Linked DNA regions of Xenopus tropicalis. The protein of the gene in region 1 interacts with the protein of each later gene in a pairwise test. Links are inferred from orthologs where the notes say so. Each region holds a gene or a part of one and is shown in the gene's direction. Other genes may lie near its edges.

Region 1 (4,146 bases):
TTGTGCCCTGGGTACCCCTGGAACTATAGCAGGGTGACTGTTACCCCAATGTTTCTATATATCTGTAACCTTGTTATGGGCTAAGGGGGCCCAGCTTGAAGGCCAGTTAGGGGGGATTTGGGGTGAGTGCTTATTTGTGCCTGGGTACCCCTGGAACTATAGCGGGGTGACTGTTACCCCAATGTTTCTATATATCTGTAACCTTGTTATGGGCTAAGGGGGCCCAGCCTGAAGGCCAGTTAGGGGGGGATTTGGGGTGAGTGCTTATTTGTGCCCTGGGTACCCCTGGAACTATAGCAGGGTGACTGTTACCCCAATGTTTCTATATATCTGTAACCTTGTTATGGGCTAAGGGGGCCCAGCCTGAAGGCCAGTTAGGGGGGGATTTGGGGTGAGTGCTTATTTGTGCCCTGGGTACCCCTGGAACTATAGCAGGGTGACTGTTACCCCAATGTTTCTATATATCTGTAACCTTGTTATGGGCTAAGGGGGCCCAGCCTGAAGGCCAGTTAGGGGGAGATTTGGGGTGAGTGCTTATTTGTGCCCTGGGTACCCCTGGAACTATAGCAGGGTGACTGTTACCCCAATGTTTCTATATATCTGTAACCTTGTTATGGGCTAAGGGGGCCCAGCCTGAAGGCCAGTTAGGGGGGATTTGGGGTGAGTGCTTATTTGTGCCCTGGGTACCCCTGGAACTATAGCAGGGTGACTGTTACCCCAATGTTTCTATATATCTGTAACCTTGTTATGGGCTAAGGGGGCCCAGCCTGAAGGCCAGTTAGGGGGGATTTGGGGTGAGTGCTTATTTGTGCCCTGGGTACCCCTGGAACTATAGCAGGGTGACTGTTACCCCAATGTTTCTATATATCTGTAACCTTGTTATGGGCTAAGGGGGCCCAGCCTGAAGGCCAGTTAGGGGGGGATTTGGGGTGAGTGCTTATTTGTACCCTGGGTACCCCTGGAACTATAGCAGGGTGACTGTTACCCCAATGTTTCTATATATCTGTAACCTTGTTATGGGCTAAGGGGGCCCAGCCTGGGGATTTTATCCCCCTTTGGATAAACTCGTAGTTACACCAGATATTCCTGGGCAGTAGGTTAAACTTGAGAGGCTACTAACCTTTACAACTGTTATGCAGCTATGTGAATAACTAATAGGGCAGAATGACAACAAAACAAGGGAGACTGCATAAGATTTTCCACAAAAGCAAAAATCCTCTATACCGAATGTACCTCAGCAGAAACCATCTCAGTACTTGACAAGACACTGAGGTAAACCCTTCATTACACCCACAGACCAACACAACCAATAGAACTTCTCTCTTTTCGCTTACTGTAAACCGAGGCTTGACACGCATAATGCAAGTGTCTTCACTTCCGGACTTTCAGCCAATCAGCGCTACAGAGCTGGCTGCATGGGCTAAACCATTTTGCATGGCACAAACTCTGAGCAGGGTGCTGAGCGAGTTGTTGGGGTGTAAGGAGTTCCATAACCAGGGGGATCCCGGTACCAGTGTTCTGCCCGGCCATGTTAGCTCAACGGTTTCTTCCGTGCTGCTTGTCGGCCCCCCCGGCTGTGGGAAGAGCGGGCTCCTGTTTAGCGCCGCCCTTGTGGCCGCGGAGGAGGGTGCGGGGCCGGTAATATTTATATCCCGGGAGTCCCTGCAGCGGCTGCCCGGGGGTGGGAGGGAAGCCAGAGAGCCGCTCCTACTCAAGGTGATTCTATAGGGAAGGAGGTTTATATGGGGGGGCAGAGAGACAGGGTGTGGCTACCAGGGAAGGGCTGGGGGGCGGGGCAGAGAGACAGGGTGTGGCTACCAGGGAAGGGCTGGGGGGCCATGAGTGCAGGGCAGTAGTTTGTATTGGGCCATATTATGGGGGGACTGGGAACAGCTGTGAGGTGGGTTCTGACTCCGCGGGGTTGGGGCAAATGGGATGAGTGATTTATAGAGCCTTAAGCTGGCCATACACGGGCAGATCCTGCAGGTGCCCCAGCCGCGTCCCCTAACCCCCCCCCCAGGGGCCCCCCTAACCCCCCCCCGCAGGGCCCCCGCCTGACGTCCTCCCCGAGCGTGTATAAATTGAACGCGTCGGGGAGGAACAGTCAGTAGGGGGAGCGCCGGCAAAGGTCGGACTGGGCCGCTGGGGCCCACCGGGATTTTTCCCGGTGTCCCGGCGGCCCAGTCCGACCCTGGGCAGATCCGCTCGCTTGGCGATGTCGCCAAGCGAGCGGATCTGCACCCGATATCCCCACCTACGGGTGGCGATATCGGGGAGGCATGTAGGTGAATTCGATCGTTTGGCCCTGGGGCCAAACTATGGAATTCTGCACGCGGCAATGGGGCAGTCGGTTCGGGGACCACATCAACGAGCCGATGCGGTCCCCAATCCGACGGGATTTTCTAACCTGGCCGATCAATATCTGGCCAATTTCAGGCCAGATATCGGTCGGCCAGCCCGCTCGTTTATGCCCCTACACGGGCCGATAAGCTGTCGAGTCGGTCCAAGGGACCCATATCTGCAGCTACAATCTGCCCGTGTATGGGGACCTTTAGGGGAAGGACATATTATGAGGGGACAGATAATAGAGCAAAGTGCCAGGGAAGAATGTTAGTTTAGGGCAGGGATCCCCAACCTTTCTTACTCCTGAGGCATGGGTCATATGTAAAAAGACTTGGGGAGCAACACAAGCACCATAACAGTTCATGGAGGAGCCAAATAAGGGCTGTGATTGGCTATTAGGGGCCTCTATGCACCCTATCAGCTTACAGGGGCTTTATTTGGTAGCAAATCTTGTTTTTATTCAACAAAAACTTGCCCCCAAGTCAGGAATTCAAACATAACTCCCTGGTTTGGGGGCACTGAGAGCAACATCCAAGGGGTTGGGGAGCAACATGTTGCCCCTGAGCCACTGGTTGGGGATCCCTGCTCATGAGTGTATCCAGATGGATTTGCATAGCTTTGGTTGGCATGTCGTACTTGTAGTTATTTTTTTCAGCTATTGTTCTGTAGCAGTTTTTGATCTTAGTAATTTTTTTTCTTTTTAGCGAATCCGGTTTCTGTATCCTTCTTCTCTCAGGGAGCTTCTGCACCTTGTCTCGTCCATGCACCTCTCCTTCCCAGCTCCTTCTCTAATTGTGGTGGATGGACTGGAACGCTACCTCGCTCCGACCTGTGGCTCTGCTGATGGGGCTCTTATTTCAGGCCTTTTGCTAGACTCTGCTGCACACTTTAAGTGCGGCCTCCTGATATCTGCAGCACAACCTCTGGAGATGGGTGGAGATGGAGCATTCCTGGCCGTGGAGCGATATTTTCCAGCCCAGTGCCATATCTATGGCGAGGTGACAACTGAGCAGGAAGAGGGCACCTTTCACATAAGCTTCCCTTCCCATTTCCCACCTTGTGTCCTGCACACAGCAAAGGATGGTACTCTGAAAATATCACTTCCGAAAGCTTCATTTTCGTGACGGGATCGAATGTGAAAACTTACCACCTCATACTAAAATGTGTGTAGATCAGGGGTGCCAAGACTTTTTTCCGCGGCGATCGACTTTTGACTCCTCCCCGCGTACATACACATACCCAATAAACACGCGGAACCGCCGCACTTCCGCATTTCCCGGCTTCGACGCGGTCCACCAGAAATCCACAGGGGATCGACTGGTGGACCGCGATCAACATTTTGGCCACACCTGGTGTAGATGATAAATTCTTTCATGTTTCATGTATAGTGTTGATGCTTTTGCAACTTTTCAGAAAACATTGTTTAATGTAAATATTGTCAAAAAATAAAAAAATTTAACAACTTGACTACTGTGCAGTGATATTGGTATTTAAGCTGACTGGATATTGCAGTGGTTAGTACTATAATACTTCATGGACACCCAATTATTTTCACAGGAGATATTTGTAGTATTAAGTTTGGGTTGGTTTCACTATTCAACGCGAGGCATTTTCGGCGATTTGCCGAAATCGCGCCGCCGCGTGTGCCATCCCACCGGCAACTTACATTTTCGCCGGTGGGATGGCAACGGATGGCAACTTGGGGAAATAAGTCGCCCGCGAACAGGGAGATTTGTCGCAGGCGACTAATCTCCCCGTGTGCCAGAGCCCTTAAAGGTAATAGATCAGCCCCATTGTGTAAAC
Region 2 (4,219 bases), on another chromosome or scaffold:
GTATTGTGCCCTCTGTGACTGGAACCTACTCCCATGGGTGCCATGCTGGGGGATGTGCATATAGAGCTAGTGCCAATGAGCACATGTAGCACCTACTGCCCATGTTATGTCCATATAATCCCACGTTATGCCCGTATAGCCCACGTTATGCCCATATAATCCCACGTTATGCCCATATAATCCCACATTATGCCCATATAATCCCACGTTATGCCCATGTATCCCACGTTATGTCCATATAATCCCACGTTATGCCCATATAATCCCACGTTATGCCCATATAATCCCACGTTATGCCCATATAATCCCACGTTATGCCCATATAATCCCACGTTATGCCCATATAATCCCACGTTACGCCCATATATCCCACGTTACGCCCATATATCCCACATTATGCCCATATAATCCCATATTGCCGGGGAACTATATGGCACAAATAGGGAGCCTCTAAGGCGAAGCAGTGACTGTGGGGGAATTTATGAGCATAAAAGACAGAGTACAGCGCTGTTCAAACGTGTAATTGTGTCTTTGTATTCAGTTACGGGGCTCACTTACAAACATTGTATCAAAAACAATCTTGGCCATTTCCCATAAAACATCCACCATCATATGAAATTTACAATTATTTAATTTTCAACGGGTTAAATTGTATCAACATCAAGACTTCCAACCAGGCGGCAAGAAAACTCGCAAACCACTTAAAAAATTAAGTTTCGGAATCATCATTTTATGTCTTTCCTTTTTAAACACTGCTTCTCCCTCTCACTCCTAGCAACACACAGCAGGCTGCGCTTATATCCCTCTCACTCCTAGCAACACACAGCAGGCTGCGCTTATATCCCTCTCACTCCTAGCAACACACAGCAGGCTGCGCTTATATCCCTCTCACTCCTAGCAACACACAGCAGGCTGCGCTTATATCCCTCTCACTCCTAGCAACACACAGCAGGCTGCGCTTATATCCCTCTCACTCCTAGCAACACACAGCAGGCTGCGCTTATATCCCTTCACTCTAGCAACACAAGCAGGCTGCGCTTATATCCCTCTCACTCCTAGCAACACACAGCAGGCTGCGCTTATATCCCTCTCACTCCTAGCAACACACAGCAGGCTGCGCTTATATCCCTCTCACTCCTAGCAACACACAGCAGGCTGCGCTTATATCCCTCTCACTCCTAGCAACACACCGCAGGCTGCGCTTATATCCCTCTCACTCCTAGCAACACGCCGCAGGCTGCGCTTATATCCCTCTCACTCCTAGCAACACACAGCAGGCTGCGCTTATATCCCTCTCACTCCTAGCAACACGCCGCAGGCTGCGCTTATATCCCTCTCCCAGGCTGGAGGGAAGCCCCGTACGCACCACAACGCAACCCATTTGCTCTACGTCACTGCCAAAGTCCCCCCCCAAACACCCAGAAGGCCCCGCAAGCGGCAAGTCGCATCACGTGATATCTTGATCCAATCACTGCACCCAGGAGAGTTTTGCCCGCGTCACACAAATTCAGCGCGCCCATATTCTGCCAGGAGTGGAACTTATCGCTGCAAGTAGCTCCGCCCATTGTACCTGGCGCAAACCTGAACCTGCAAGTGCTAATGTGAACTGTATGGGGAGGTGAGGAGTTTTAGCGTTTCGATAGAGTGCAAGACAAATGCATATTTCTGGAACATGCGCTGTGTGGAAAGTTAAGCGTGTCTTCTATCTGTGCTGGGGATATGTAATTAGTAGTGCAGAATTGCCATGGTGTGGTTACTCATAGCAGCCAATTAGAGGTTTGCTTTTAAACGGGTGAGCACTTTATAACTGTAGCGTTGAACTCTCATTAGCCATTTCTCTTCCAGCAGTTTCCCCAGGTTAGGGGGGCTTTGGGAAAAGGGCATTGTAATGTGTAATTCCATAGCACAACCTTAAAGGGGAAGTTAACCTTCACGTTACATTCAGACCCACTCCCATTAATATTGTAGTCTCTCATTAAAACCACTGCTTGGTTGCTAGGGCTAATTGGACCATAGCAACCACATAGCTTCTGAAATTCCAAACTTAAGAGCTGCTGAACAAAAAGAGATATCATTCATAAATGACACAAAATTAAAAAAGGAAAATAAATTGCAAGGGGTGAACTACCCTTTTAAACCCTGAAACTTACAGTATGTGCTACATCATTGGCAGTCTATCACTTTGCTTTTTAATGATGCCTTTGGCAGACAAATAGTTACATTTTCCCCATTGTGACCCTTACCTCACAAGAGCTAAACATGGAGTAGCTTTATTAACCCTGTTTAGCTCAAGAAATAACAAAAAAGCACAGATTTTTCATAATTAAAACTGGCAAAAAATTCAGCTTGTGTCTTATTCATTGCATTTATCTTCAGCAAGGAAATATATTGAACCTTCAAGCCCTTATAACTGCTCCCTGATTGCTAGGGAGCTGTGGAAAATTAATAAAATAAAAGGTTTAATAAAAGTATGAGATAATTTGGATTTAGTGTATAATGACAGATATATTTTGTACGGTTTCATTTTTGTTCTGAAAAAACTAAAAAGATTTTTTTTTTTAAAAAAATGAGAAATCGCAGACTTTTGAAATGCAGATTTTGTGGTAAAAGTTATTAGGGCGAAACTTCCCCTTTAAAAGAAGGAACATAGATGAAGCTGAAGGAAAGGCAAAAAAGTCATCTGAAGCTGTCTCCAATTTATGCATAGTTACCCATGTAAAGGTTGGCATAAGTGGGCGTGAACCTAGCCCCCATTGACGTCCCACATTTCTGGAGGTAGAATACCCCATCAAAAAGAAAAAAATTATGAGTGAGTAAATAGTTAATAGAATCTAAAATGAAATTTTTAGTGACTATATCATATGTGCTATAATTATCCAAGTGATAAGAAATGGCTTGCAAGCCCCTATCATGTGGGACGCAAGAATACAGTGAGGCCACATCAACTGTGGCCCATGATAGGGGCTTGCAAGCCATTTCTTATCACTTGGATAATTATAGCACATATGATATAGTCACTAAAAATTTCATTTTAGATTCTATTAACTATTTACTCATAATTTTTTTCTTTTTGATGGGGTATTCTACCTCCAGAAATGTGGGACGTCAATGGGGGCTAGGTTCGCGCCCACTTATGCCAACCTTTACATGGGTTGGTGGGAAGAGTCCCACATCTATGGAGGTAGTTCTTTATATTCATCTAACATAGTGTTTTACAAACGCTATGTTGATGATCTTTTGTTTATTTGGCGTGGCTCTGAATCAGAATTTAGGCACTTTTTGGGTTATTTGAATCACAACACTCTGAACTTAAGATTCACTAGTGAGTTCAGTAGGGACTCTATTTCCTTTTTAGATTTGAAACTTACGGTCTCAGGTTCTTCGGTTGTGACCACAGTATTCAGAAAACCCTGTTCCGGAAATTCGCTATTGAGGGCAGATTCTTGCCATCCCTTTCATATGTTTAAAGGCATTCCCCTCGGACGATTCTACCGTTTACGGAGGAATTGTAGTACAGAACACGACTTCCTGGAACAGGCGATTTATCTACGTGATAGATTTTTGAGTCGGGGATACAGTATTAAATCACTGTCGCAAGCGTTCATTAAAGCCTTACGTACTGATAGATCTGAGCTTTTAGCGAATCGGAATAAGGGTAGTGATAATAGGACCATAAAGAGCAGGGACCTGCCTACTTTTGTGACGGCTTTTAGTAATCAATTTTATAAGGTTAAGCGCATATTGTATGATCTGATCCCGGTTTTATATAACGATCCAGTTTTAGCGGTGGTATTGCAGGATGGTTGTAATGTAGTGGCCCGTAGGGTGCCTACTCTAGGCAATTTACTGTCACCTACCCTATGGAAGTCGCAACCCCGAAAAACTTCCTGGCTAAATGTAAAGGGAACTTATCGCTGTGGAGCTCGCAGATGTGTTACGTGCACTTACATTAAGCAGTCAGTTAGTTTTAATAGTACAGTTACTGGTAGATCTTATGATATGCAGTCGTATGCTAATTGCAACACACGATACGTGGTTTATCTTTTGACTTGCTCTAAATGTGGAATGCAGTACGTTGGTTGCACAACTCGGTCTTTGAAGTGTCATATGAGGGAACATATAAGACACATAGTAGCAACAGATGGCAATAGTCCATTATCTAGGCACTTTGTCCAGTGTAGTAATTTGGATGTAACATTTTTACAGATCCAGGCTATAG

The links. The genes of interacting proteins can lie anywhere in the genome.
Region 2: the proteins of swsap1 (region 1) and zswim7 interact in binary tests that used the Homo sapiens proteins (3 or more experiments, as listed by UniProt). The link is inferred for Xenopus tropicalis from reciprocal best matches to the Homo sapiens genes SWSAP1 and ZSWIM7.

What each region holds. Positions count from the first base shown.
Region 1 is NC_030679.2:140,123,070-140,127,215, forward strand, and holds swsap1 (ATPase SWSAP1), read left to right. Parts: upstream 1-1,344; 5' UTR 1,345-1,359; coding exon 1,360-1,716; intron 1,717-3,047; coding exon 3,048-3,467; 3' UTR 3,468-3,810; downstream 3,811-4,146. UniProt on the Homo sapiens protein: ATPase which is preferentially stimulated by single-stranded DNA and is involved in homologous recombination repair (HRR). Has a DNA-binding activity which is independent of its ATPase activity.
Region 2 is NC_030678.2:31,207,343-31,211,561, forward strand, and holds the start of zswim7 (zinc finger SWIM domain-containing protein 7), read left to right. Parts: upstream 1-1,418; 5' UTR 1,419-1,618; intron 1,619-4,219. UniProt on the Homo sapiens protein: Involved in early stages of the homologous recombination repair (HRR) pathway of double-stranded DNA breaks arising during DNA replication or induced by DNA-damaging agents. Required for meiotic progression, hence for fertility.